Linked DNA regions of Macaca fascicularis. The protein of the gene in region 1 interacts with the protein of each later gene in a pairwise test. Links are inferred from orthologs where the notes say so. Each region holds a gene or a part of one and is shown on either strand. Other genes may lie near its edges. The genes, in order: SPG21, EFHC2, RABAC1 and DTX3L.

What was found.
Region 2: the proteins of SPG21 (region 1) and EFHC2 interact in binary tests that used the Homo sapiens proteins (3 or more experiments, as listed by UniProt). The two-hybrid records come from large-scale screens. The link is inferred for Macaca fascicularis from reciprocal best matches to the Homo sapiens genes SPG21 and EFHC2.
Region 3: the proteins of SPG21 (region 1) and RABAC1 interact in binary tests that used the Homo sapiens proteins (3 or more experiments, as listed by UniProt). The two-hybrid records come from large-scale screens. The link is inferred for Macaca fascicularis from reciprocal best matches to the Homo sapiens genes SPG21 and RABAC1.
Region 4: the proteins of SPG21 (region 1) and DTX3L interact in binary tests that used the Homo sapiens proteins (3 or more experiments, as listed by UniProt). The two-hybrid records come from large-scale screens. The link is inferred for Macaca fascicularis from reciprocal best matches to the Homo sapiens genes SPG21 and DTX3L.

The regions. Positions count from the first base shown.
Region 1 is NC_088381.1:41,565,614-41,572,750, forward strand, and holds part of SPG21 (maspardin), read right to left. Parts: intron 4,777-7,137; coding exon 4,615-4,776; intron 306-4,614; coding exon 225-305; intron 1-224. UniProt on the Homo sapiens protein: May play a role as a negative regulatory factor in CD4-dependent T-cell activation.
Region 2 is NC_088395.1:44,292,483-44,299,619, reverse strand, and holds part of EFHC2 (EF-hand domain-containing family member C2), read left to right. Parts: intron 1-2,323; coding exon 2,324-2,466; intron 2,467-5,093; coding exon 5,094-5,290; intron 5,291-7,137. UniProt on the Homo sapiens protein: Microtubule inner protein (MIP) part of the dynein-decorated doublet microtubules (DMTs) in cilia axoneme, which is required for motile cilia beating.
Region 3 is NC_088393.1:48,996,465-49,004,104, forward strand, and holds RABAC1 (prenylated Rab acceptor protein 1), read right to left. Parts: upstream 4,952-7,640; 5' UTR 4,868-4,951; coding exon 4,812-4,867; intron 4,531-4,811; coding exon 4,318-4,530; intron 3,922-4,317; coding exon 3,824-3,921; intron 2,692-3,823; coding exon 2,590-2,691; intron 2,507-2,589; coding exon 2,418-2,506; 3' UTR 2,256-2,417; downstream 1-2,255. UniProt on the Homo sapiens protein: General Rab protein regulator required for vesicle formation from the Golgi complex. May control vesicle docking and fusion by mediating the action of Rab GTPases to the SNARE complexes.
Region 4 is NC_088376.1:160,681,968-160,689,861, forward strand, and holds the start of DTX3L (E3 ubiquitin-protein ligase DTX3L), read right to left. Parts: upstream 4,123-7,894; 5' UTR 4,069-4,122; coding exon 3,882-4,068; exon of another isoform or gene 3,702-3,881; intron 2,628-3,701; coding exon 2,416-2,627; intron 3-2,415; coding exon 1-2.

The DNA.
Region 1 (7,137 bases):
CCCCATCTTTACAAAAGACACAAAAATTAGTCAGGCATGGTGGCACATGCCTGTAATCCCAGCTACTTTGGAGGTCGAGGCAGGAGAATCACTTGAACCCGGGAGGCGGAGGTTGCAGTGAGCCGAGATCGTGCCACTGCACTCCAGCCTGGGTGACAGAGTGAGACTTCATCTCAAAAAATAAAAAAAAATTGTATGTATGTAATTAGTTTCAGGGTACTCACTTTATCCAATTGTAAATGGTCTAAAAGTTTTCTGAATCCATCACAGAACTCAAGATGGTCCCAATAAACTGGATACTGCAACTGAAATAGTAACAATAATTTTATTTTAAAAATCATAAAAGTAAAAATGCAACTCATGTATTTGAAAAACTTAGGACTCAAACAGTGGCATTTCTCGTTTGCTCAAGCGCTGCTCCTTATTCAAAATATGTAAAAATAAGCTCTCACTTTTTACGAAACTTCATAATTCACATTTTATCTAACAGACCAAATTAAAAGAGTATAAAAAGTAAGCACATTCTAATGATATTATGTGAGTAACAATTTCAATTCCCATCAATTTCCTTTCTAAACAGCTGAAAAAGTCTGGGGTTTAAGGATGAATATACCAGAACCCATCCCAGTAAAGAAATATGGTTTTCTCTTAAATCTAATTTCATTCAGAATTATAGCTCAGGAGAGATGGAAACAAAATTTGTTCTAAGGAGAGCTCCCTCTCTTTTTGGTAGCATTTCTTTAAGGGGGTATTCAGTAAAGTTGTTCCTCTTCTTTTAAATGACTTAGTTACTCTATTTCATTTATTGTACTTTGGGGTGTTTGTTTCTTGAGACAGTCTCCTCTGTTGCCCAGGCTGGAGGGCAGTGGCGCGATCTCGACTCATTCCACCTCTGCCTCCCGGGTTTGAGTGATTCTCCTACCTCAGCCTCCTGAGTAGCTGAGATTACAGATGTCCACCACCATACCCAGCTGATTTTTGTATTTTTAGTACAGACACAGTTTTGCCATGTTGGCCAAGCTAGTCTCAAACTCCTGACCTCAAGTGATCCACCTGCCTTGGCCTCCCAAAGTGTTAGAATTACAGGCACGAGCCACTACACCCAGCTTGTTTTTGAGATAGGGTCTCTCTCTCTCACCCAGGCTGGAGTGCATTGGCACAATTGTAAGCTCACTGCAGCCACAACCTCCTGGGCGCAAGCGATGCTCCCACCTCAGCCCCCCAGTAGCTGGAATCACAGGCATGCACCACCATGCCTGGCTAATTTTTATATATATATTTTTTGTAGAAATGGGGTTTTGCCATGTTGCCCAGGCTGGTCTTGAACTCCTGGGCTCAAGCGATTTGCCTGCCTCAAGCGATTTGACTGCCTCAGCTTCCCAAAGTGCTGGGATTACGGGTGTGAGCCAACAGAAGTACCATGCCAGGCTATTGTACTTCTGTTTGTGAAAAAGAAGTATGGTACTTGACTATATGTAGCCTGTCTATTAATGCTGGCAATGATGAGGAAAAAGAAGTACAAGTCACAAACTCATTTCTAAGGGACTCAGGTTTGTCCCCTAAGAATTCCTTTTTTTGTTGTTTGAGATGGAGTCTCACTCTGTCACCCATGCTGGAGTGCAGTGGTACGATCTCAGCTCACTGCAACCTCTGCCTCCTGGGTTCAAGCGATTCTCCTGCCTCAGTCTCTCAAGTAGCTGGGACTACAGGCGTGTGCCACCATGCCCAACTAATTTTCTTTCTTTTTTGCATTTTTAGTAGAGACGGGGGGTTTCACTGTGTTAGCCAGGATGGTCTCGATCTCCTGACCTCGTGATCCACCCACCTCGGCCTCCCGAAGTGTTGGGATTACAGGCGTAAGCCACCGTGCCTGGTCAAGAATTCCTTTTTTATGTACATATAAAACCCACTGGCTGGGCGCAGTGGCTCATGCTTGTAATCCCACCGCTTTGGGAGGCTGAGGCAGGGGAATCACTTGAGGTCAGGAGTTTGAGACCAGCCTGGGGAACATGGTGAAACCCCATCTCTACCAAAAAAATACAAAAATTATCCAGGCATGGTGGCAGGCAGCTGTAATCCCAGCTACTGGGGAAGCTGAGGCATGAGAATTGCTTGAGCCTGGGAGGTGGAGGTTGCATGAGCTGAGATCATACTACTGCACTCTAGCTGGAGCGACAGAGCGAGTCTCCATCACCAAAAAACAAAAACAAAAACAAAAACAAATCCCAAAAAACCTCGTCTAACAGGCTTATTGTTTAAGCACTTAGGTTCATTTTGTTACTGATGAATCACTGGAATGGATACTGCCAAATGAATTATGGGATCATTTTAGATTTGATGTATGACTTTTATTATTAAAATTCTATTTGTGGGTAAAACTTCCACCATGCCAAGAAAGAATGGGGAACCGATTCTCCCTAGCAGAAAGTTTGAGAATTTGAGTCAGATGATAGCCTAAAAGAAAGGGGATGATATTTTCATGGAGTCTTTAATTTATAAATATCTGTGCCCACACAGGTGACAAAATTATACACAACTTAATACATACAAACAAATGTGTTCAAGCAGAACTGGAGAAACCTGAATGAGATTGGTAGATTGTAGTAATATCAATATCCTGGTTGTGATATTGTACTACAGTTTTGCAAAGGTTTGGCGGAAACTGAGGAAATGTGTAAAAAGGATATTTCTCTGAACTATTTTTTACACTGCATGTGAATCTACAATTACAACAAAAAAAAATTTAAAAAGGTCTGTGCATTATAACTGCTAGATACTAACAAATATCAAATAAATTCCACAACCTCATGGAGCTGAACATTCTGATCAAGACGCTGTTGACCTTTTCTTGATTAACTATCCTCCTAACGAAACAGGGAAAGCCCACATCGAGAACCTTGAGGGCAAAGAAGAAACATCCAGCCAGAAGCCAAGGCTCTCATGATCTGCCACTGTGGAGCGAGAAACGCTGTTGGACAGCACTCCCAAGTGGGACGGGCACCTGCAGGCTGCTTGGCTCCCCCTCCCTGGCTGATCAACAGGGGCCACCAAAAATGGTAGTGTCATGTCTCAGGCTGCAGAGGGCTTGGATGAGGGCAGTTCCTACCCTGTTCTAGAATGCTGTTTGTGAAGAGGAATGACTGAAAGTCTGAACAAAGGAGGATTATGTTGCAGAGGCTCAAACATGTCATGTGACGAATGGTTAAAGAAGCTGGAGAAATTAAGCCAGAGAAGAAAAGACCCAGGAGAAAAGCAGCAGGTGGTGGTGATGATAACTGTTTTCTCAAGTAAGAGATGGGCTCTCAGGAGGAAGAGGAACTGATTTCTTTTGTGTGGCCTCAGTTGGTGGTAACCTCAGTAGAACTTTCAGTTACCTTCCAAGAGAAGACATGTGACATGCTTTTTCACCCCTTCAACAGTAAATAACACACACACTAACAGCAGCACTCCCACCGGGAGTACCACTTACAAGTGAATACTGCAGGCGACTGCCAGCTAAAAAGGCTGTCTCCTTCCTGGGAAATTAGGAGACCAACGTCCTGACCAACCTGTGTCGTTACAGTGGAAGCATGCAAAAAAAAAAAAAAAGAAAAAAGAAAAATCAGTCACCAGGAAGAGTGCCTTTCCCACACACTTTTCTCCCAGAGAAGACTCAAGAATGATCAGTGGGAAACTGGATTTAGACCAAACTCGGCTATAAAGTACTAATCATAAACAAAAAACTTCCTAACCAAATGCTAACATATGAGCTAATTAATGAATCTCACCTCAAATATCAAAGATTTACACGAAAAGCCAGCTTTTCAGTCACTTGTGTGTTAGCTAATCCCTTTGTTGTCTAATATTCCATGCTCAGCAACCCTGGAAGCAGTGCTGTGATAAAACGAGGAGCAGAAACAGAGCCAGGAGACAGAGCTCAGTTCCTCCCTCCACCACTTACTGGCTGTGTGAGCCAGACCTCAGTTTCTTCATCTGTAAACAAGGACAACACTTCCAACCACTCCGAGTTGAGAGAAGGGCGTCAGGAGAGAATGCACGTAAACGCTGGGCATGGAGAGGCTGCCAATAGAGGTTTGTTCCTTCTGAATCTCTGTGTGACTGTGGACTCACACCAGCCTCCTTCAAAAGGCTTCATCTCACATATTAAAATAGGCAAACAATATCTTTCCTCAATTAAAAAAAACTGCCCGGCCGGGCGCAGTGGCTCATGGCTGGAATCTCAGCACTTTGTAAGGCTGAGGCAGGTGAATCATGAGGTCAGGAGTTCGAGACCAGCCTGGCCAACATGGCGAAACCCCGTCTCTACTAAAAATACAAAAAATTAGCTGGGCATAGTGGCGGGCACCTGTAATCCCAGCTACTCAGGAGGCTGAGGCAGGAGAATTGCTTGAACCTGGGAGACGGAGGTTGCAGTGAGCTGAGATCACGCCACTGCACTCCAGCCCTAGGTGACAGAGTGAGACTCCGTCTCAACAAACAAACAAACAAACAAACTGTGCCTATTACTATAGCTGATCAGAGACAGAAGCACACACACACACACACACACACACACACACACACAAACCCACAAAACGTCGGTCTACATTTTAATACTGAATCAGTAATACTTACAGCGATAACCCGGTAACCCCATCCAGTCAGAGCCAAAATCTGCCGGAAAAAGACATCTGCAGTTCCACTGACAGGGGGCAGGAATATGAGAGGACACCTGATACTTCGGGGGCCTGCATCATAGAGCGACCATATCTTACTGTCATCATCATCTACGATAATCTGGAGGGAAATTTAAAAGAAAAAAGTGGAAAATCTTATAAATTCACTTTTTATGTTATTTTACACTATCATTTCACTGACAATTTTAACACTACTGCCTTGTTTGTTACAAGGTAACCTGAAGCTCACACCAGATTAGCATGCATGACAGACTCCTCTAGTCTCCTTTTCTTTCCTCAGGGCTAACATATTCCACAGAACTACTTAGAACTACTTTATAATCTTCCAGAGGGCTGCTGCTTCTCTGTTTCTTCCCCCCCACCCTTTTTCTTTTTTTGAGACAGAGTCTCGCTCTGTCGCCCAGGTTAGAGTGCAGCAGCGTGATCTCGGCTCACCGCAACCTCCACCTCCCAGGTTCAAGCGATTCTTGTGCCTTAGCCTCCAATGTAGTTGGGATTATAGGCATGTGCCACCACACCCAGCTAATTTTTGTATTTCTATTAGAGACAGGGTTTTGCCACGTTGGCCAGGATGGTCTCGAACTTCTGACCTCAGGTGATCTGCCTGCATCAGCCTCCCAAAGTGCTAAGATTACCGGCATGAGCCACCACACCTGGCTGCTTCTCTCAGTTTCTACCTTTCCCGTCCATCCACAACAATAGGAAGAAATCTATTTTGCTTAACATTAAACAGTGAACTCTATACAAGACATCTTATTTCTTCCCACATTTCTGGTTGTGTGTGTGTTTAAGAATGTGTCTGTACAAGGAGGGCAGTCTGCAGTCATTCTGCAGTGCTGACCCAGAGGACTGGCTGGGATGTGCAGGGTCAGAGTATGAACAGGGGAGCTGATGGGGAGACAAGGCTCCTAGCTCGTGTCTCTATCCACCTGGATAGGTGGGTAGAGATAGCACCAGCTCAGGAGATGCTTCAGGAGCCTCTCTAAACCAAGCCTTTGGGGAGTTGTGGGGGAGACTCTGCTACAGAAGGGGAACGAGGCAGGTCTATGTGTCACTCTCCTGGGAGAATACATCAAACCAGTAGGGGTTAGGGAGTGGCACAGAGAGAAACTGGCTTTTTGGTGAAAAGTGGGTAGGAAGGAGGAAGGTAATCAGAAACCTTCCTGATGGAGTGGTTCTTGACCCAACATGACGGGGAAATAATGAGCACTGGAAGAGCTGAGGGGGCCGGGCATGGTGGCTCACGCCTATAATCTTAGCACTTTGGGAGGTCAAGGCAGGTAGATTACCTGAGGTCAGGAGTTTGCGACCAGCCTGGCCAACATGGTGAAACCTTGTCTCTACTAAAAATATAGACATTAGCTGGGTATGGTGGCACATGCCTTTAATCCCAGCTACTGGGGAAGCTGAGGCAAAAGAATTGCTTGAAACTGGGAGGCGGAGGTTGCAGTGAGCTGAGATCGGGCTCCAGCCTGGACAACAGAGCAAGACTCTGTCTTAAAAAAAAAAAAAAAAAGGAAGAAAGAAAACAATGTGCTGAGGGCCAGGCGTGATGGCTCACGCCTGTAATCTCAGTGTTTTGGGAGGCAAAAGGCAGGACTGCTTGAGGCCAGGAGTTTGAGACCAACCTGGGCAACATAGTGAGATCCCCATCTCTACAAAAAATGAAAAAATTAACCAGGTGCGATGGTACACACCTATAGTCCCAGCTACTTGAGAGGCTGAGACACAACAATCGCTTGAGCCCAGGAGTTCAAGGCTGCATTGAGCTATATGATCGCACAACACTCCAGCCCAAGCACCAGAGGGAGATCCTGTCTCTCTCTCTTTTTTTCTTTTTTTTTTTTTTGAGATGGAGTCTCACTCTGTAGCCCAGGCTGGAGTGCAGCGGCACGATCTCGGCTCACTGCAACCTCTGCCTCCCAGGTTCAAGCAATTCTCCTGCCTCAGCCTCCCAAGTAGCTGAGATTACAGGCACGTGCTCCCATGCCCAGCTAATTTTTTGTACTTTTAGTTGAGATGGGGTTTCACCATATTGGTTAGGCTGGTCTTGAACTCCTGACCTCATGATCCACCTGCCTTGGCCTCCCAAAGTGCTGGGATTACAGGCATGAGCCACTGCACCCAGCCCAGATCCTGTCTCTTTAAAATAAATAAATAAATAAATAAATAAATAAAAATACAACAACACTCCAGCCTGAGCAACAGAGGGAGAGATCCTCTCTCTTTAAAAAAAAAAGAAAAAGGAGGCCGGGCGCGGTGGCTCAAGCCTGTAATCCCAGCACTTTGGGAGGCCGAGACGGGTGGATCATGAGGTCAGGAGATCGAGACCATCCTGGCTAACACGGTGAAACCCCATCTCTACTAAAAATACAAAAAAAAAATTAGCCGGGCGCGGTGGCGGGCGCCTCTAGTCCCAGCTACTCGGGAGGCTGAGGCGGGAGAATGGCGTGAACCCGGG
Region 2 (7,137 bases), on another chromosome or scaffold:
AACCAAGAGAATGCTGGATCCCGGAAGCCAGTGAAGCAAGAGTAACACTGAAGGAGTGATCATTTGTGCCGGTTGCTGCTGATTGGTTAAGTTAGATAGGCACAAAAAATTAAGCATTGGAATTGGCATTGTGGAGATCATTGTTGACCTCTACAAGAGCAGTTTAGGTAGAGCAAACCTAATGGAAATGGATTCGAGAGAAAATGGGAGAAGAATTTGACATAATGATTTTAGATAACTCCGAGCTGTACGTAGAAAAAGTTAAGCCATGGCTTCTGGACCTAGGAATTTATAATTTGTTTGGGGACAACGGGAACAAACACATTTTTAAAACAACCATCCAAGAGTACAAGTCTATATAGAGCTAATTTGGGTGTGATCTTACAATTGATGCAGGAGGTATAAGTAGGTGGTCAGCTGGAGTATTGTGATAAAAAAGAATATTCTGGGAAGTTTGAGAAGTAGTTATTAGGGAAATATCTGAAGACACTTGCAGTGCTTCTCAAAGTATGCCCAGGTGACCACCTTATCAGAATCTTCTGGGGTGCTTATTAATAATGCAGGTTTCTGGAGATGTGAGCTAGCTACTGAATCCCCCCATATCTCTGGGGATGGGACTCTGGATTCTGTATATTTAACAAGCTCCCCAGGTGATTTTTATATACAATAAACTTTGTGAACTGCTAGTCTGAAAATTTTATTGAGTAGATTATATTCTTGATTGATGAGATCTCCAGAACACTAGATTTAGGTAAAAAAAAAAAAAAAAGGCATATTGAATGTGTGAAGAACCCACACTTAACATATACACTTATAAATTATAAGAAGTTAAATTTACAGTAATATTTCTTTTCCTGAAGTTAGACCTATCCTGTTTCAGTGATATTTCGGGTATCTGAAATGTTATGGCTTTTTTGTGTGAGAGGGGCTACCAAATCTATTTGTTACTTACAAACCCAATTATGTACCAGCGAAGATGGTTGACAAGGCATAGCTTCTCCCCGCGCCCCACGCACTATATGAGGTCTGTCTGAAGCCTGGGAACTCGGTACTGAGAAAACAGCCATGCAGACCTGGCTGCTTTGCTCAGGCTGTTTTGGGGTGAGCTTTCCAAACTGCTGCATACCATCTCACATGGGGCCTCAAGCCTAGGAATCTTGGTGCCATCCTTTCTTAGCCATCATTCTTGTACAGCCCGAGAAAGGGGCAGAGAAAAGCACTTTTGCCTCTGCAAGTCAGAAATACTTGTTTTATTTTTCTAATCACTGTGGACACAAGGAAAGAATGATCTTCAGCCTAGGAGACCCTGCAAGGGAAGACTTCTGTGCATAGAGTTGTGACAGAGGACATGGTTTATTATCCTGTGTATCTCCCTGGGGTAATGATTTTAGTTATCAAAGACCTCTCCAAGGGTTTACTGTTTGTTACAAAGTCCACCTTTCACTAGCTGATATCCGCAGACATGCTTCTGCTGACAGATCAGAAATCAGTTTCTTCAGTGACCAGGCAATCAACTTTGGTAACTTTTAATTCTGTAATTTCATCCTATCTTTATCTATGCATAAAATTCTGAGTGCAAATTCCAATCAATACAGATCTCATAACAATTTTCCATAAACATTTATTGAATACTTATAATGTAAAAAGTATTATATTAGATAATGGTTAATAAGACAGTCTTTGTCCTTGGAAAACAGACTTGTAATGGCTTACAATATGAGTGATAAGCGCTATTAAAAAAAAAAAAAAAAGGTGGGTCCATCCTATGTGTTATAGCATTTGAAAAGGAAAAGTTAATTTGTCTCTTGAAGAAAGTTGGGGGGATGCTGGGGAGCTGGAGGAGTGAGTCAGAGAGGGGAGGATGTGGGCTGGAAAACAGAAAAGCAAAGGGCATGAGACAGTGAGTGGTGAATGGGGGAGGTAGCCTCAGATACTGGCAGAGCCCAGGATTGCCCACGCAGTAGGGCTAGGTGCTTGCTCTTCTTTCCAGCATGATTATTGTGATTGGTGACTAGCCTCGTCATTAGAGAACAGCCAGTTAGCGCAGCTGGTTTGAGCAGTGTGTTTATGACGTTTGTTTTGGGTTCATTTTCCCAATGTGTTACCCAGGACATGTGAAGAATGAGAGATATCTTAATATACTGAGAAAATTCCTCTGCATTTAGATTTAGAACCTTAATTAGAAGACGGTTGAACTCTTTCACTTTGGACAGTTTATGCCTACTCTATTAAAGCCATATTATACCTTTTGCAGACTTTTAAAGACATAATATGTGGAAGATTACCTGTATAATGCTGTAACTCTCATTTCTGTTCCATTTAGCTATGGCTTCAAAAGCAATATACTCCGTTTTTTTGCAAAACTAGTCACAGACAAATGTGTTGACTTGGACAGGATGTTTGTTATTTCATATTATCTCAGTGATGACACCATTTCAGTGTTTGAACCTATAGAGAGGAATTCAGGTAAGAGATATCCTTCTCACAGTATTTTCTTGAGAATGTTTTAAGTGTCTCTTCATGTTGAAAATTAGGGAACATGATCTGGTTTTGTAGCCTAGATTATCTACAATAGAGGCTTTATTTAAAAAAAAAAAAAAAAACCCGAACAATAGAGTTCTTTTTACAAATCTCTTAAATGGGAACCTAAACATTTAAAATGATAGAAGTGAAACAGTTTTGGTTGGCTTAGGGCCAGGGGACCTGGAGTTACTTCCTTTTTGCCACTATCCCCACTTCCACTGTGACTTCTGAGGCACCTCTGTGGAACCCAAGGGCTTCAAATTCATGGTCTGGGTACCACTAGTTTTACTTGTAGCCAGCAAGCCAAGAGGAAGTCTGCATTCTTGATAGTCCTACTTACAAAATTTTTGTTTGGCTGTAAGACAAGAATCCCAGATACACAAATTCAATCGTCAGGGTCCATCTTTATCTGGTCCTTCTGTCTGTTGAGGTTGTTGCCAAGGTTCCCGCACTCAGACCCATAGAATGCCTCTCTGCAATATGCTGGTACCACCGTCACTGCTGAGGAGAGCCATTGACTTACCCAATCATGGCACTGTAGGACCCTGTTCTTTGTCTCAACACGTTTAGAACTTTTATCTGTGCTGAAGACATGCATTTGGGAAGAATAATCAGTGATGTGCTGGTTAAGTGGCTCTTTGAAAAGATTTTAAAAGCCCTGATTTGTACTGTTTGCCAGTTTCCATGGTGTGAATACCCCAACCATGGCCAATTTCAAGCAGCCAAGAGTTTAAAAACTGGCTTGCAAAATCTCTGAAAATTCGACTCTCAGCTCCTATGAGCTGATATGAGCTACTTAGCACAGCGATGAGTAATGAATAACTTGTATAACTAAGGCTCCACAGTGATTTGAATAATGGATCAAATCTTAAAATATGAAATTGCATAGGGATGAATATAAGTCATGCTCTTACAGGTCAAAAATCAACTCTGTACACTTAGAATGGGGGAGATGTGGCCAAACAAGTTGCAGCATGTGTGAAACAGAAAGCAGTGATGATAGTCAGCAGCAAGCTTACTAGTAATCACAGTGGCCATGATGGAGAACTTACTATTATCCTTACAAGGACTTTATGAGGTTAGATTTTGTGTTAGTCCAGCTCCTCCGAGAAGCAACTACCAAGACAGGATTAAATGTGCAAGAGATTTAATAGGGGGAATGCTGGTGAGGGAAAATGTGGAAGGAGCCAGAAGAGGCTGGGAGAGCTGTCAGACTATAGTGCAGTTCTGACACCTGTGAAGCTCAGAGGGAAGGAAGAAAGAGGGAGTCTTAGACTGCAGTGAAATTCTAAGAAAATTTCGACAAGGTCGACAGGGAGTCCTTGAGGCAAAGTTGCTAGTTGGAGGAGTCCTTGTTTTGTAGGAGTGAGCCTGTCTTACTATCCCTGCCTTGGTCACTCATCTATTGGTAGCAGCCCGTGGGAAGAGTGACCTCAACACACACCTGAAGATTGATTTAAGAACACAACAGCTGGGGCCTTCCATCAGTTATGTTCTTCGCTATAGGCGACCTGAGAAGTACATTTTCTGGACCTCCACACATCTGATTCCCATTGTACCAATAAGAATTCAGAGAGATTAAATAACTCCTAAAGATCACCCAGCAAGTAAGTGACAGAACTCGGAAGCCTGTGTCTTTTTACCACCTATCATTTCTGAATGTGGTAGGAGAAGGGGGATGAAGTGGCCCAAAAGCTTATCTGGTCTCAGGCTATATTTATAGGTCTGTAGATTTCAGTTCAGTATCAGAAGATGCTGGAGTTCCCTGTTCAACTCTACTGGCTACTTTCCAAGAGGTCACAACAAATAATGTCTAGAAGAGAACAGATGAAATGGTGACAGCTCTGGAAACTAATATGAAGCGTTACTAAAAGAAGCAAAGGGATTTTACCTGTAGGAAAAAATGACTTAAGGGGACTCCCATAGTTACCTTTAAACACTTAAGTAATCTCCTTTACAGAAGTAGGGCATTTGCTACTTAATCTGCATGTCAGATTAAATATAAGACATCATCTGGGACAAATAGGTGGAAATATGCACAAGTGAGGAATTTTCTAACTGGTACTGTTCAAACATGCTCTAAAGATGAGTATCTTCCTGATGTTCCACACTCCCAGTATGCTGCTGGGCATATATAGGAGGTCCCTGCCAAGTGCTTATTGGACTGGGAAGAGAGTAGAGAGAGAGAAAAAAAGGCTAGAATTACACATCATTTTCTCTCTCTCTCTCTTTTTTTTTTTTTTTTGAGATGGAATCTTGCTATGCTGCTCAGGCTGGTCTTGTACTCCTGGCCTCAAGCGATCCTCGTGCCTCAGCGTCTTGCGTTGCTGGGACTGCAGGCACATGCCACCATGCCCGGCTTTGCTTTTTGTCTTGAACACCCTTGCCTAGGAATTCTTACTCCTTCACTCACTGCCTCATTCTTCCCTTAAGTCCAAAACAATAGGCAATATTAGTTCACAGGTAACTTATATGGTGGTCTGTGCTTGAAGATAAAGTAACTCTGAAGGCAAGTCAGATGGTTCTTTTAAGAATAAAGGCTGCTCATGAACTTTTCTATTTTTCTATAGGAATTACCGGTGGGATGTTCTTGAAAAGAAGTCGCGTTAAGAAGCCTGGACAAGAAGTCTTTAAAAGTGAACTATCTGAATATATCAAGGCTGAGGACCTGTACATTGGAGTCACAGTGAATGTGAATGGTTACCTATTTCGTTTGCTCAATGCTGATGAGTATACCTTAAACTACATGGAGCAGAATACAGATAAGGTGAATTTACTTTGTGTAATTCTTCACTTGCCTCTCAGCCCTCCGCAGTCTGTGTTTTTCTTTCTCTAGGGCCTTTTCTTCTTCATCTTGCCACCAGTTTTACATTGTGCATTCATACATGTGGGCATGAATAATGGATTCGTGTGACTTGGCCACATGTCCCATCACAGAGGCCAGGTTCTTGTCTACTCTGTTTACATGCTGGGTTCTCCTCTGCCCAGCATCACAGATTCCAGGCACAGGCAGGAGGCAGGGCCAGCGTTGAATCAAGTTTCCTGGGTTTTTTGCTGACACTAACAATGTTTTCAGAAAGAAATTCAACTACTATAGGAAAGGAAGAAAAATCTGGTGCCACACACTGTGCCGTCCCAGTTAATTGGCACAGGCCAACAGAGAAGGCCAAGACCTGAACAAACAGAAACCTCAAGGGAACTGAATAGTTGCTGGAGTTGCAACTTCCCATAACAGTGGCCACCTGAGGCCTAAATAAGGATTTCAGGATAAACTGGCGACAGTGAGCTCAAAGAGTTTTTTTTTTTTTTTTTCAAATAAGATGGCAGATGGGTACTGTTACTGCAGGTGCCATTATGGCAATGCTGTTCAGTAAAAATAACATATTGATAAAATCTGGATTTTAAATGTGGGCTAGTTCAGTGTACAAACATGTTTATTTGGGAATCATTGCCTAATATGGAAAAATCTATCTGGAAAATTTTATTTTAAAAGTTTACCTATAAGTGATAATATTTATGTAGCATTTATATACATACAGTGCCAATTTTGTCTCATTTATATATAAAATGCCTGGGGTTAAGTTGCTAAGATCAGTGTCTCTGGGTACATCACATCATTCATATCAGTTTGGGTCCTCTGAGAAGCAGACGCCAAGACAGAATGAGAAGTGTGAGAGATGTCGTGGGGGAAATTTCTGAGAAGGATAAAGGGGGAGGGGGACAGGAGCGGGCAGGGGGGCCTTCAGACCAGGAGACAGGTTGAACCCCTGTGGAAGGAGAGAGAAAGGAAGGAGGGGTGGGTAGGGAAAGCCTCAGCTGACAGCGCAGCTCTGAGAATGTCTCACTTTCTCAGTGAAGGGGAGCCCCAGAGCACAGACTGCCCATCAGAGAGGTCCCCTGTCAGGCAGGAATGGCCTGGCTCTAGTTCCCCTGCTGTGCTGTGTCATTGGGTGGGAACAGCCTGGGGAGAGGGTGGCCCCAGCAGCGACATTGCCTGTGAACTCTGTGTGAATCTGGAAGATATGGCAGCTGGAGTCTGTCAGGCAATGATGCTCTTCTCCACAGGGTCTCTCTTGACAGGAGGCCTGCAAAGCGCCCTCCATGGCTGCCACACCATCTCTCCATTTATAGTCTTAGGGATGCAGGTTATCATAAAACCATGAACCAGGAGCTATTCGAAAACACTGAATCTAGACAAGAAGCTCAGTAATCGGGAGTTTAGATTTCTGGAAACCAGCAGGCCTGGCTTGGGAACCTGACTCCACGTTAATAGCTGAGGGACCTTAGATACGTATTTTTCCTGAGCTTCAGTTTCTTCATCTTTGGAATGGAAGGAACAACAGTGCCTATTTGATAGAATTGCTATGAAGATTAGATGTGATAATGTGTGTGAAGCTCTGAGCTAACCATGAGGCCCATGGTAAGCTCAATCAGTGTTACTATTGTAAATTAGAATTCTATTTCCAATCAGAGGGTGAACCTATACCGTAATATAAAATATATATAGTATAAATATAAGATATAAAGGTTTTTTTTTTTCCTTTGGGGACAATAAAAGCAGGGTAGGACATTATCTGGAATCAGCATCCCAAGTGAAAACTGCATTATTTTAAA
Region 3 (7,640 bases), on another chromosome or scaffold:
AGGCAGAACAGCTTGAATCTGGGAGGTGGAGGTTACAGTGAGCCGAGATTGTGCCATTGTACTCCAGCCTGGGAGACACAGACAGACTCCATCTCAAAAAAATAAATAAAAATAAAAAATAAAATCACTTCTCAGGCCCTCTCAGCCACCTCCCTTGTATTCATCTGCCTGGCACTTTCCCTCCCAAGTGTGTTTCTCTTTTGTTACTGCTACCACGTGGCAGTCTTCACCTCATGATGAAAGGCAAACTGGACCCAGCATGGTGGCTCATGCCTGTAATCCCAGCACTTTGAGAGGCTGAGGCAGGAGGATTGCTTCAGCCCAGGAGTTTGAAACCAGGCCAGGCAACTTAGTGACTCTTGTCTAACGAAAACTTTTTAAAAAATTAGCTGGGCGTGGTGGCGTGCACCTGTGGTCCCAGCTGCTCAGGAGGCTGAGGCAGGAGGATCACTTGAGCCCAAGAGGTAGATGTTGCAGTGAGTGGTGGTCACGCCACTGCACTCCATCCTGGGCCATAAAGTGAGACTCTGTCTCAAAAAAGAAAAGGCAAGAAGCAAACTGGGCTGAACATAGTGGCTCACACCAGTACTCCCAGAACTTTGGGAGGCTGCAGGGGGAGAATCACTTGAGCCCAGGAATTTGAGACCAGCCTGGGAAACAAAGCAAAACCCGTCTCACAAAAGCAAACTGTATGTCTTTCATCTTATGCAGAGTAAACCCAGAGCCCTCACCATGGCCCACAAGGCTCCCTGGCCTCCCCCTCTGTCCCTCTCGCTTATCTGCCCCAGCCACACCCACCTCCTGGCTGCCCTTGAGCCTCCCGGCTGCTGCCATCTCCTGGGCTATGCCCCTGTGGCTTCCTCTGCCCCAATTATTCTTCCTCCAAAGGATCTGGGCTGCTCCCTCTCTCAATTTAGGTCTTTGGTGAATGTCACATCAGGGAGGCCTTTTCTGGTCACCCTCTTTAACTTGCAACTCACTCCAGAACTTTCTCTGTGCAGAAAAGAGTTAACCTGGCAGGTTCTACCCCAGACTGCTGTCTTTAGACAGGCCTGGGTGCACAGCTGGTCCTTGGCTGGGAACTTGGGTGTCAGGAGGGGTCTTATCACTTCCTGATAGAGTGGCTCGCTGTGTCTATCTAGGCTGTTTGTGCAGGCCCAGGCCTTCCTTCTGGGAGCCTGGCATTTTGGTATGTGTTGGAGAAAAGGTGCTCTTGTAGCTGCCCCCATGAAACCGAGGGCGCCGAGGCTAGGATCAGAGTATCCCTGGCTGACATTTCACACATGTCACCATGATCCACTGCTGGAGGAATCAGGTGTGGCCTCTGGAAGTGCATGCCTGGTTTCCTGAGTTCACTCCATGTACCTTTTCTTTTGGCTGACTTGGCTCCATATCCTTTGATGAGAGTAAATCAGAGCTATCAGTGCAATTGCATACTGATTCCCAAGTCCTAGAGAACCATCAAACCTGGGGTGCTCTGATTCCCAAGTCCTAGAGAACCATCAAACCTGGGGTGCTCTCTGATTCCCAAGTCCTAGAGAACCATCAAACCTGGGGTGCTCTGATTCCCAAGTCCTAGAGAACCATCAAACCTGGGGTGCTCTGATTCCCAAGTCCTAGAGAACCATCAAACCTGGGGTGCTCTGATTCCCAAGTCCTAGAGAACCATCAAACCTGGGGTGCTCTGATTCCCAAGTCCTAGAGAACCATCAAACCTGGGGTGCTCTGATTCCCAAGTCCTAGAGAACCATCAAACCTGGGGTGCTCTCTGATTCCCGAGTCCTAGAGAACCATCAAACCTGGGGTGCTCTGATTCCCGAGTCCTAGAGAACCATCAAACCTGGGGTGCTCTGATTCCCGAGTCCTAGAGAACCATCAAACCTGGGGTGCTCTCTGATTCCCGAGTCCTAGAAAACCATCAAACCTGGGGTGCTCTGATTCCCAAGTCCTAGAGAACCATCAAACCTGGGGTGCTCTCTGATTCCCAAGTCCTAGAGAACCATCAAACCTGGGGTGCTCTCTGATTCCCGAGTCCTAGAGAACCATCAAACCCGGGGGTGGTCTCGGGGACCCCCGGCACACTGTCCTTCTCAACTCTTTTCTCCTCCTCAGCACTCACCACCATTGGGCATCCCATTAATATTTTACCTGTTTACCTTATCATCTTGCCCACACCCCAGGTTCCACCCCAACCCTGATCTGCACAGTATTCCCAGCTGCACCCATAGAGACCCACAGAAGATGCTAGGGGAGTATTTCCTGAATGACACCCGTAACAGCTTTATTTTCAAAGGCGGGATCCCTCCCCGGGCTTGTGATGGGACGGCGCTATGGGCCCGAGCAGCAGAGCTGTGCAGGAAGGAGTAGGCAGGGGCGGGGCAGCTGGCCCGGGAGGCTGGCAGGTCCCAGAAGACACCTCACACGGGTTCCATCTGCAGCTCCTCCCCGTCCACAGCCTCAATCTGGTGGAAGGCAGCATGGGAGCCGATGACCACCAGGGTGGCTCCTGCAGGAAAGCCGGCAGCTCAGGGCCATGCTCCTGTACCTGGCCCCCACCATCCACCCCAGCTGCTCAGACCCTGTACTCACCCAGCACCCAGAAGACGGCCGAGCCCGCACCAGCCAGCCAGAAGAAGGGGAAGGAGATGCCTCCAGCCAGAGCGTACTGATGCGCTGGGCTCACCTCTCGGCCTGAAAGCAGATGGCATTGGGGCGCTGTTCCGACCCTTCATGCCCTCTCCCAGAGTAACCCCTGCTGCCCCCCAACAATCTGTATAAGCTTCAGGTCCTCGGGATCAAATCCAAACTCCTCATGCCAAGGCCCTCCAGGTCCTGGGGTCACCCTGCTCCCCTGGTGTCCTCACTGCCCTCCAGAACACAGCACACCGTCCTCGCCTGCCTCAGCCCCACGCTCTGCCCTCTGCCCCACATCCTCCAGGAAGTTCCTGGGATCCCAGCTTCCTGCTCCCTAGACTAGGGCTCTCCTGCTGCAACCCTCACGCAGACCAGGGGTCTCAAACTGGTGGCCCAAAGGCCAAATCTGACCTGTGGATGTGTGTTTGTTTTGAGATGTTTTACAAGGATGTGATTTGTGGCTGGCAAAGTGAATGATTTCACATAAAAATACCAACTTCACGCTTCCCATAGAAGTCTCAGGGATGGGGTCTGCATGCTCTGGTGCCTGTGCTGCAGGCGCTCCCTCCCCCTAAGCCCGTCATGCACATAACTTGCAGGCCCCTGAAGAGCCTGGCCTTCAGGTCTACCTGACAGCCCAATCCCAACTCCCTGACCCCACTCCAAACCTTGATTTTCCCCTGGGGGGAATTTCCCCTGGCATTTTGTTCTCCCAGTGGTCCTTGGTACTAGTCTGGGAACCACATGAAACACACTCCTCAGCTTCCCCAAGTTCCAAGTTCTTTCTGGTCACATCCCAGAAAGCAGGAAAAGAAACGGGAACAGATCTAGGCCAGTGTAAGTTCGCCACCTGGTGTCCAGTGTGGGCACCTGCAGCTGATGCTTGCCGCAGAAAGCGGCAAGGGGAGGAGAGAGGGGAGGAGTCATGTGGTTTGAAGAGGAGTAGGTTTAAGGCACAGCAGCCAGGTGGAGCCTAGGTTTGAGGAATAGCAATTTGAGGGGGCTGAGACTCGATGGGAGCATCGGTTGTGTCTGAGATTTTTAAAGGATCAGGTTTGGGAGATCTAGTGTACATCTAGGCTTCGGCGGACTTGGGTTTTGAAGGACTTGGATTTGGGGTCTGAGGTTTGCATTCCAAAAGACCAAGATTCGAGGGACCAAGGATTCATCTGGGCAGGGGGTTTCTCACCAAAAAGCACAAGCTTGGACTGCAAGGTGCGCAGATAGAGAATGTAACAGGCGCCGAAAAAGACAGCCAGAGCCACCAGCAACATAGGGGACGTCACCCTGGAGGAGGAGTGCAGGGAGGCAGCGGTTAGGCAGCTGGGGCTGGTCAGCCAGGGAGCCCTGGCCTTCTCCACCGGCGGGAGGCAAGCTACATTCTGGAGACCAGGGAGGGCCAGGTGACATTCAGTCACACTGCATCCTGGCCAGGGTGATGGTGGGGTAGGGACCTGGCCCTTTGGTGACAAAGTAGGTCTAGCAGAGCCAATCCTTGGGGGCGGGGCCGGCCTGGGCGGTGAGAGGAGGGGCCTGGGCGGTGAGGGGAGGGGCCTGGGCGGTAGGAGGGGGGCCTGGGTGGTGAGAGGAGGGCCCGGGCGCTGAAGGGCGGGGCCTGAGCTGTGAGAGGAGGGGTCCACCCGGTCGGGGCTAGTGCGGGTGCAGGGCCCGGGATGCACTCACACGCAGTACAGGATGAGGCCCAAGAACACGAACACATAGTTGCTCTGGTAGTACTCCACGTTGCGTACGAGGCGCTGGCACAGCTCGCCCAGGTTGCGGGGCCGTGAGAAACGCTGCTGGTCCACGAAGGTGCCCCACGGCCGGATAGTCGCGCGGCGCCGCTCCAGCCACTCCCGGCCTGCACCGGAGGGAATCAGCTTCGGCAGCAGGGTCCTGCGAGGGGTGGGGCCGGGTCAGTGGTGGACCGGGATGGAGCCTCAGACCCCCGCAAAAGAAGGGGTTTAAGGGGGCTTGGACTCCCTCCCGGGACCCCAGATTACTGAATCGCAGGCGGGGAGGGGGGTAGGGGCCCAGACGCCAGGGTCCCATTAGAGGAGACCGGGGCCAGCGCTTGTGCGTCTCGGGGCTGGGACTCCGGGCACTCGAGGGAGGAGGGGGCCAGGGTCCCGGACTCCCGGGCCTCGGGTCCGAGGGCCTAGAGCCGGCTCGCTCACGTGGCGCTCAGCCCTTCCGCCTCGACATCTTTCTGCTGGTCCTTCTGGGCTGCCATGTCTGCGTCGTGAGGGGTAGAGCTGCTGTAACCAGCCCGGTACCCTGCAGACCCCGCCGGCCCCGCCCGAGGCCGGCCCCACCCAGCGGAGTCGACGTGGCGCCGCTCGGGAGCAGCTGGGGACTGTAGTTCTGCCGCCGATCATTGTGGGAGTTGTAGTCCTGACGGTGGCTGGGAGGGTGGGCGCCATGATGGCGGTCTGACTCGCAAGACACCTTGGGAGATATAATCCCAGAAAGTGACGGCGCGCACCTCTGGGCATTGTGGGACCTGTAGTTTCAGGAGGGTGCAGGTGCGCTGTCAGGAAAGAGGGCGTTATGGGAGCTCTAATGGCAGAAGAGGGTGTTGTGTACTCTCCCAGGCAGGGCACAATGGGGACCGTGCAGAGCTGTCGTTCTGACTCTAGAGGGCATAAAAAAACAACTAGAGGGCTTGCTAAAACAGACTCCTGGGCCCCACCCCAGATGTTCTCATTCAGCAAGTCTGGGGTGGAGCCCATAATTCGCATTTCTGAGTTCCCAGGTGATGCTGATGCCGCTGGTCCATGGACCACATTTTGAGTAGAAAGATTTAGAGAGTTTGTGGGAATTGATTCCTTCCTCAAGAGATTGAGGCTAGTGAGTGGGTCATGGTTGCTGGAGGGGTATCTGAGGTTGCCCCCTGCCCCACTTTGTGGAGTCCCAAAGATGAATGAGTTGGGACTAGGGACACCTCCGCACCGCCACCACCCCCCCCCCACCTGCAAACACACACACCTTTGGACAGGAGGGAGTGAAATTGGGAAAGAGAAAAGGTTGGGAAGTTTTGTGGGTTTTTCTGGGATGGAGTCTCACTCTTGTTGCCCAGGCTGGAGTACAATGGCACAATCTCAGCTCACTGCAACCTCTGCCTCCTGAGTTCAAGCGATTTTCCTGCCTCAGCCTCCCAACTAGCTGGGATTACAGGCGTGCACCACTATGCCCAGCTAATTTTTTGTATTTTTAGTAAAGACGGGGTTTCACCATGTTGGCTAGGTTGGTCTCGAACTCCTGACCTTGGGATTCGTCCACCTCAGCCTCCCAATGTGCTGGGATTACAGGCATGAGCCACTGTGCCTGGCCCCAAGTGACTCTTTTAGGCCCAGGTCTTGTCTTCCAAGATCTACGGCACTTCAGGGTTTGTGCTTGGAAGCCTGCTGGAAGGCGTTCCCAGGAGGTGGGGGGAAGATGGCCCTGTCCAAGGGGCTGGTGGTGCAATAGGCAGGGAAGCCCTTTGCAAGGGCCCCACACTGAAGATGGAAGAGTTACACTTTGAAGATCAGATTGGCTAGTTACTATTTATTTCCTCTTTGTCACCCCCAGGCTTTTAGTGGAATCGGGTTTTCTTTTTCATTTTTGAGATGGAGTTTCGCTCTGTTGTTCCAGCTGGAGTGCAGTGGCACAATGTCTGCTCATTGCAACCTCCGCCTCCTGGGTTCAAGCGATTCTCCTGCCTCGGCCTCCTAAGTAGCTGGGATTACAGGTGCGTGCCACCATGCCTGGCTAATTTTTGTATTTTCAGTAGAGACAGGGTTTCATCACGTTGGTCAGGCTGGTCTTGAACTCCGACCTCGTGATTCGCCCACCTAAGCCTCAGCCTCCCAAAGTGCTGGGATTACACGCGTGAGCCATCGCACCTGGCCTGGAATCAGGTTTTCTAACTAGGATTCAAACTTGAAAATCCTACTCCTTTGACTGCGGGGCCGGGTGTGGTGTCTCACACCTGTAATCCCAGCACTTATGGGAGGCCCAGGCGGGCGGATCACTTGAGGTCAGGAGTTCAAGACCAGCCTGGCCAACATGGCGAAAGCCCATCTCCACTAAAAAAAATACACATGCCTGTAATCCCAGCTACTTGGGAGGCTGAGGCAGGAGAATCATTTGAACCCAGGAGGCGGAGGTTGCAGTGAGCCAAGAGCGTGCCACTGCACTTCAACCTGGGCGACAGAGTGAGACCCTATCTCAAAACAAAACGCCAAATGAGGAGTGCACGATTACCCCCGAGCAGGAATAGGGGAGCAGCATCTGAATTCAAAGGGCCAGAGCAGCAGAGGTAGCCCTTGGAAGAACCTCCATGGAAAGACAGAGCTTGGAGAATAGAATTGGGACAGAGCTCCAGCTGCCTCTTCCATGGCCGGCTGTGGGAGATCCAGGATTAACTTTTGATATGAGAGCTATTGGGTTTCCTTATAGGAACTGAATGAAAGCAATTTCATTCCAAAACCCACTGGTCTTTGTTCTGAGCGGAGAACATAGCGGCAGAGGCCTGGAGGTATCGAACAGCATGGGCCATGGTGGGAGATGGGGTGGGGGACAGTGGAGTCTGAGGGGCAAGGACATTGCAGGAGGGGCCCTAGGAGTGGGAGGGTCGGGGGGGGACTTTGAATAAGGGAATTTCAGGAGATGGGGCCTGGACACAGGGGCAATGTGGGAGAGGAGGGCCTGAGGCAGATACATCATGAGAGATGGTGAGAGATGGGGTCCCTGAGAGAAGGGGCCTTTGGCAGATGGGCCCTGAATTAGGGGAGTAGGCGGGTGGTGTGCTGGGAGATGAGGGAACACCCAAGAAGATTGTGAGTTCCAGGCAGGGTGTGGTGGCTCACGCCTGTAATCCCAGCACTTTGGGAGGCCAAGGTGCGCGGATCACTTAAGGCCAGGAGTTCGAGAGCAGCCTGCCCGACATGGTGAAACCCCATCTTTACTAAACATACAAAAAAAAAAAAAATTAGCTGCGCGTGATGGTGCGCGCCTGTAAT
Region 4 (7,894 bases), on another chromosome or scaffold:
ATCTGAAATTTTAAAAGGAACAGGAACAAATAAAACCTCTCAGCATGCAGACCTACCATCTTCTCTTCAGGAGAATGCATAGAGACTAGAGAAACAACCACTACATCTACATCTTCCCCAAGCAGGGGGCAACTTCTTTCATATCCTATTTATTTATTTATTTATTTATTTATTTAGAGATGGAGTTTCGCTCTTGTTACCCAGGCTGAAGTGCAATGGCATGATCTCGGCTCACCGCAACCTCCGCCTCCTGGGTTCAAGAGATTCTCCTGCCTCAGCCTCCCGAGTAGCTGGGATTACAGGCATGCGCCGCCATGCCTGGCTAATTTTGTATTTTTAGAAGAGACAAGGTTTCTCCATGTTGGTCAGGCTGGCCTGGAACTCCCAACCTCAGGTGATCCGCCTGCCTCGGCCTCCCAAAGTGCTGGGATTACAGGCGAGAGCCACTGTGCCCGGCCTCAAATCCTTTTTAGAGGATACAGCATGCTACATCCCAGAGGTTCTCAACCCTGTCTGCATATAAGACTCACCTGGCAAGTTCAGGGAAAAATAAACCAGCCAAAGCCCAAGCACATCCCCAGAGATTCTAATGTTAACTAGTCTGCAGTGGAGCCTGGGCATGAGCATTTCTGAAAGCTCCATGGCCAAGAGATCTGTGTTCTACAACTGCCACTATCTGTTTGATCTTGGGAACAGCAGTCAAGGGAAGGCACTGTGCTCTCTGGGCGAGTTGTCATGGCCCTCACAAATGTCTGTGAACTTGGAAGGGAGCCATAAAGCTGAGGAAAATGGCTTTCCTATGACTGTTTTTTCTCTTCTTCACTCCTCCTCCTTTTTTCTTTTTAACACCTGACTGCATGCGAAGTTGTCGGTCCCTTCTAAACCCTGGCCTTTAGAAGCTCAAATATAAGACGTGCCAGGTTAAGATAAAAAGGACAGAGGCCAATTAAATGTAATATAAAAGCAAAATTTCTAATGTTTTGTTCCTTCTCAAGGACTTTGCATGTAAATCCTTCCTCCAGATCTTCAAAATGTTTCCTGAATCCAGCCATTTTTCACACCTCCATCAAGGCCACCCAAAGTCCATGCCATTCTCATCTTTCACCTGGCGCATTGCAACCCCTCCTAACTGGGTTCTAATTCTCCATTCTAGCCCCTTCCTATGTTCAGTTTTCCAACAGCAGCCAGAGTGACCGTTTAGAAATATAAACCAGATCGTCTCTCCCCTGGCTCAAAACTATCTGATGAATTCCCTAACATTTTAAGTTAAAAATCCAAAATCCTTATCTTCAGCCCCAAAGGCCTGTCTTCTGTGTACCTTCCCGAGTTCCTAGCACCTCTCTCCCTTGCTCACTGCCCTCCCACCACACTGGCTTCCTTCAAGCTTCTGGGCCTCAGAATGTCAGCTCTTGGGGCCTTTGTACCTATGCTTCCCTCTAGGACATTTTCCCCCCAGAAATCCACTTGGCTAGAGATGTCATCTCACTTGAGGTTTTTCCAGACATCCTATTTTAAATGGTGGTTCTGTCATTGTCTGTCACGTATTCTTCTTATTCTTCTTTCTAGCAGGTATGACTGGCAGACATTTTATTATATATCTATTTGTTTATTAATATTGTCTGTTTCTCTCACTAGAAGGTGCCATCCCCAGAAGCAGAGTCTGCCATGTTCCTGGCTGCCTCCCCAGCTCCTATAACAGTGCCTGGAACACATTAAGCAGTGGATATCTATTGTTGAATGAATCTTGTCATCATTCAAGTTGCAGGCCAAACGTCACCTCCTCAGTCAAGTTGTCTCTGATTTCTGGTTAGAAGTAGAACCAGGCTAGGCGCAGTAATTCATGACTGTAATCCCAGCACTTTGGGAGGCCAAGGCGGGCAGATCGCTTGAGCCCAGGAGTTTGAGAACAGCCTGGGCAACATAGTGAGACTCCGTTTCTACCAAAAAAAAAAAAAAAAATTGGCTGGGTGTAGTGGCGCCTGTAGTCCTAGCTACTCAGGAGGCTGAGGTGAGAGGATCGCTCGAGCCCAGGAGGTCAACGCTGCAGTGAGCCATGATTATGCCACTGTACTCCAGCCTAGGTGATAAAGTGAGACTCTGTCTTGTTGGGGGAAAAAAGAAATAACACCACCCCCATCTTCCCTTTGCTCGCCCTAGCCCTGTTTCTCTCCAAATAAATAAAATGGTTCTAATTATTTCACTTGCCTACTGTCTTTCTGTGCATGCCCTGGGCCCCAATATGAGCCGCCTGAGAGCAGGGACCTTGTCTGTTGTGTTCGTCTCTGTGTCCAGTGCCTAAAACAGTGCCTGGCTCCCATGTATGTGCCCAGCACATGGGTGTTGGATCAATAATACATGAGGCTGGTGACTGGAGAGGAGGCGCAGGTACAGCCAGCTCCTTCTTTCAATACTCACCTTTTCGAGACAGGAATCCACAGCATTAGGAATATGTCCTTCATGTTGATGCGTATCACTAGACGGTGTTTCTGCTTGTGACTGTGTCAGTGAAGAAATTTGAGGTCTCATGTTCTTCTTTATTGAATTTTCAGTGGGTACCAGGAAAATGGGCACAGGTTCGTTGTCAACAAGCATTTGGTGTTCTCCTTTTTTCAACACTCTCTCCTTAGCTTCAGCAGAAACATTAAACACACACATATACATACATAAAAATGGGAGAGATTTCAAGTAATCCTGTCATTCCTGTGTCTGTACCCTGCCCCAGCACCTCCCAGTAAGGCTGCTCACTGCACCCCGGAATGGTGGGTTGGCGATGGAGGAAATTGGGGAGCTATTAAGAGTTCTGAAGTGTGCGGATTAAGTTTTACTACAGAAGTGAAAGCTTAACGACAATGGAACATTGTCCACTCATTAAACGTCATGTTTCTGAAACTGTCTCCAGTCTCCCCTTTCTTCCTTCCTTCTTTATTTCCCTCCCTCCCTTTTTGTTTTTTTGTTTTGTTTTGTTTTTTGAGACGGAGTCTCACTCTGTCACCCAGGCTGGAGTGCAATGGTGCGACCTCGTCCCACTGCAACTCTCTGCCTCCCGAGTTCAAGCGATTCTCCTGCCTCAGCCTCCGGAGTAGCTTGGATTACAGGTGCGCACCACCACGCTCAGGTATTTTTGTATTCTTAGTAGAGACGGAATTTCGCCATGTTGGCCAGCCTGGTCTTGAACTCCTGGCCTCAAGTGATCCACCAACCTCGGCCTCCAAAGTGCTAGGATTATAGGCGTGAGCCACCACACCCATCCTGGTCTCCCATTTCAATACTCATTATACAGGTAAGTTACAGCAGCAAGTATCAAAAGTGCAGACTCCGAATTGTGTAAATACACGTGTGTTTGCTGGCATTCGTAAAAAAGGGCAGGAAGAAAATACACCAAATGGACACATTGTTTATCTCCAGGTTGTTTTCTTTTTTACTCTTTTCTCTTATTTCTATAGTGAGCATATATCACTTTTGTAATCCTCAAAAATACAAAATGGAACATCCTTTTGTTAATGGATGGAACAATGGAACCATTATTTAAAACATAAAAGTGGAATCCCTGAATGACAAGGACGGCAGCTGACAGGCATCTGGAGGATGGAAGATGACAGCTGAGAAATTAAGTTAGAATGAGGATATGGAAAACATCCACACTAAGGCGGGGTTAGCCGGATCCGCACCGGGCACATGTGAGGCCCTATCCTCCACCGAGTGTTCCCTGTCTCAGTGAGTCTCTTGGCAGCAGGGCCCCGTCCCTGTCCGCCACCGCACAGTGGCATACTTTCTTCCGCCCTCTCCCCTAGGTCAGCTGGAACTGGGTCCGCCTGGAAACCCGGGAGTCGGGGCCCCAGAGACGGCTTTCGGCTTTCGCAGCCCGACCGCCCGAAGCTCACCTGCCCTTTCACTGAACTCCACCCGGAAGGTGCCCGGGGCTTCGTGTTCCTGGGGCCTGACCGTGCACTCTCCGCCGCCCGAGGACTTAGAGCTCTGGAAGTAGCTCTCCAGCTTCCGTTGTACCCGGAGGCCGGACCCGGACACCCGCACGAGGAGCGGGGACGGCGGGCGCAGGTCGGAGGCCATGGCTCTGCGCGTCGGGAGGGCGCGGGGGCTCCGGGACGCCGCTGGGCCGGGACTGGGGTAAAGGCGCGGCCCGCCCCGCCGACTAGGCGCAAAGTTTCAGTTTCGCTTCCCCGGAGGTCCCTCCCTGTTCCCAGCAGAGCTGCTTCCCCCTCTTCCCTGTGCTGTCTGCACCGAGGCGAGTGGTCTGCCGGGTGGGTAGGTCCGGTGCCCCTGGGCCCTCGGGGTCCCCTTTCCTGCAGGCTCGGGGTACGGGGGGGGCGGAGAGTGGGGGCGGGCGCGGACCAGGATCCCAGGGCCAGGCCTCCCTTATGAGTAGACTATGCAAAGAAAGTAAGTTTCTCCTGTGTTTCTTATTCTTTGTAACTCTTACTGCTGTTATCACTATTATTTGATGCTAAAAAGTAATTCACATCTGAATCCATGTTAAACTTACCCATTTTTGAAAATTTGAATGTGTTCATCTGGTAATTGTGACCTGTTACCCCTTCCCTCCCTCCAACTCTACCCTTTAGACAGGCTCCTGGGGGCTTTTCTCCTCCATTGCTTGATTTAACCAACAGCACTGAATTGTTTCTTGCTGCCCAAAGAGCAGAGCAAGGCCCTGATGTCAAGGGCTGGTGAGGGGAGGCGGACCTGTGAACCAGGGAGCAAAACTTCTTCAAGGCCTCCAAGGAGAAGTTTCAAGCAGCATCTTAATAAACTGAGTGTGGCGACGAGATGGGGAGGACAGGGTTGGGGGGAAAAGCACCTAAGGCTTAGGGACCACTATGGTCTGAAGCACAGAGTGGGCCTGGGGCCTGGGAGGAGAGGAGATGGGTGAGGGGATGAGGGAGGGAGGGCCTACCTAGATGGGCACTGTCCAACAGAGATACAATGTGAGCCAGTATGTTCATTCTAAAATTTTTGCAGCCATATTTTTTAAAGGATAAAGAAACGGATGAAATTAATTGTAATGATGTTATTTAACTTGACATATCCAAAACTTAATCATTTCAGCACATAATGAGCTTTTTACATTCTTTTTATCATACTGCATCTTTGCAACCCAGTGTTTTTCTTACACTTACATCACATCTCGATTCAGACTGGCCACATGTAGCCTCAGTAGCTACGTGAGGCTGATAGTCCACCCTGGACAGCACATATTTAGATGGTGAAAAGCTTTGAAGAGCAGTAAATATGACTTGAAGGGTTGTAAGCAGGGAAAGCAAGAAAATGACTTGCCAGATATGCATTTTAGAAATATGGTGCTGACAATGGTGTGGAAGACACATTTACAAGCAGGGATGACTGGCGGCAGAGAGGACAGAGATAAGGTTTTTGCACATGGCTGGTAAGACTGGAAATGGGTCAGTCTTCACTGTGAGCAATTTGGCAGTACTGTCAGAATTACAACAGCATATGCTTTTTGATTCTGGAGTTCCATTTCTAGGGATTTGTCCCATTGCTATATTAGCCCCTGTGTGAAGTGACCTGTGTACAAAGATGTTCTTTACAGCCTTGTTTACAATGGCAAAAGATAGGTAACTCTTTAATGTCCATAAATAGGGGGACCAGCAGTTTAATAATAATAATATATCTATACAATGGAATACAATGGGCAGTGGGAAAAATGAAGAAGCTCTCTATGTGCTAATATGATAAGATCTCTAGGATACATTACGTGAGAAACATAAGATGCAGAAGGGTGTATATAAGCTACTACCTTTTGTGTAAAAAATGCCACTGGAAGAATACAGGAGAAGCACTCTGGACAGGGAATTTAGTAGGGGAGATAGGAGGAAACCTTTTACATTTTCTTATACATCGTAAATGTAATACCTATTCAAACAATAAAATGTCAAATCAGGTACATTTAAATCTTTGAAAAGAGTATATTGCTGGCTGGGCGTGGAGGCTCATGCCTGTAATCCCAGCACTTTGGGAGGCTGAGGCAGGTGGATCACGAGGTCAGGAGATCGAGACCATCCTGACTAACACAGTGAAACCCCAGCTCTACTAAAAAAATACAAAAAAAAAAAAAAAATTAGCTGGACGTGGTGGGGGGCACCTGTAGTCCCAGCTACTCAGGAGACTGAGGCAGGAGAATGGCATGAACCCGGGAGGTGGAGCTTGCAGTGAGCCAAGATCACGCCACAGCCTGGGCCACAAAGTGAGACTCTGTCTTAAAAAAAAAAAAAAAAAAAAAAAAGAAAAGAAAAGAAAAAGAAAGAAACAAAAAGAAAGGAAAGGAAAGGAAAGAAAAGAAAAGAAAAGAAAAGAGTATATTGCCACAGCTCAGGCAAAAGGTGCTGAGACCCTGAGGTGAAGCAGTGTCAGTGGGTGAGGAAGGTAGGGGCATATTTGAAAGTGATTTAGGTTGTCAGGTCCCAGATATGAGACAAAAAAGACTGAGGGAAAGTTGCTAGATTTCTGATTTGAGTGCATAAATGGTATTATCATTTACTGAGCTGCAGAATCCAGGAGATAAAGTATGGATTTGGTGGGGGTGGGATGGAGGATTGGAGACCAGGAGATATGCAGAGGCTTATTTGAGGGGACTGTGAGACCTCCAGGTGGAGTTGAAAAATGGGGCTCAGGAGAGCCATGGCCTAGAACTGCAGATATTAGAGTCATATTTGCAGTTGGTGAGTTGACGCCGCGGGAGTGGATGAGTTCACTCCTGCAGAGCATGTAGAATGAGATGAAAAATGCCTTAGACAGAATCCTGGAGCAAACAATTAAGAGGGGTATGGTGGAAGTGAACGCAGGGAAAAGGCCTGTAAAGGTAAAGTGAAGGGTAATAAAAGAACCAAGGGAAGATGGCATAGGAGAAGCCAAGAAAGCAGGATTTCAGGAATGAAAGAGTGAAATACTATAGAAAGTGGTCCAGTAAAGATGGATAGAAGATAATCCATTGGCATTAACCACATGGGGGATTCTGATGAGCAGTTTCTCTCCTTTTTTCTTTGAGACAGGGTCTCATTCCTGTTGCCCAGGTTGGAGTGCAGTGGCATGATCACAGCTCACTGCAGCCTTAGCTTCCCACCAAGTGATCCTCCCATCTCAGCCTCCCAAGTAGCTGGGACTATAGGCATGTGCCAACATGTGCAGCTAACTTTTTGTGTTTTTAGTAGAGATGAGGTCTTGCCATGTTGCCCAGGTTAGTCTTGAACTCCTGAGCTCAAGCAATCCGCCTGCCTCTGCCTCCCAAAGTGCTGGGATCACAAGTGTGAGCCGCCGTGCCTGGCCACTGGCAGTTTCTAAAGGGTGCTGGGAATGAGACAGGGAGCCAGGTTATAGTAGGCTGAGTGGGCAGGTGGACAGGAGAGTCCATTACTCATTCCAGAAGTTTAACTGCTTATGAAGAGAAGGAAACACAGTAGGAACCAGTGATGGAAAGTTAGGAAGGCTTTTGTGGTTATGCTGTTTTTAATATGGAAGAGGTGGAATGCTTAGAGCACTATGCTCCTTGTTTGGCTATCCATAGGCCTGTAAAACCTGGCCTGAAGACAGAAACAGGTGCAACATTTAAAGCAAAAGCTCATGGTCAAAGCAGATGAAGTCATCCTTCTTTTTTGAAAACAGCAGTGCCCTCTGGAGGCAAAAAAAATGCATCTTGTCTTTGCATTTTAGGATGCAAAGGATTGTACTAGACCTGCTACTTTCCCTTGATGAGTAAAGATCGGGATCTGATGCTGTAGATGGTTGTACAAAATTTTTCTATTGCAAAGACGTTAGAATTATTTAGCGGCCTAAATATAGCAACAAGTGTGGGCAACTGTATCTTTAAGCATTTTCATCATCACTCTTCTAAAAATTCATAATCTTTAATTCCTACCTATTA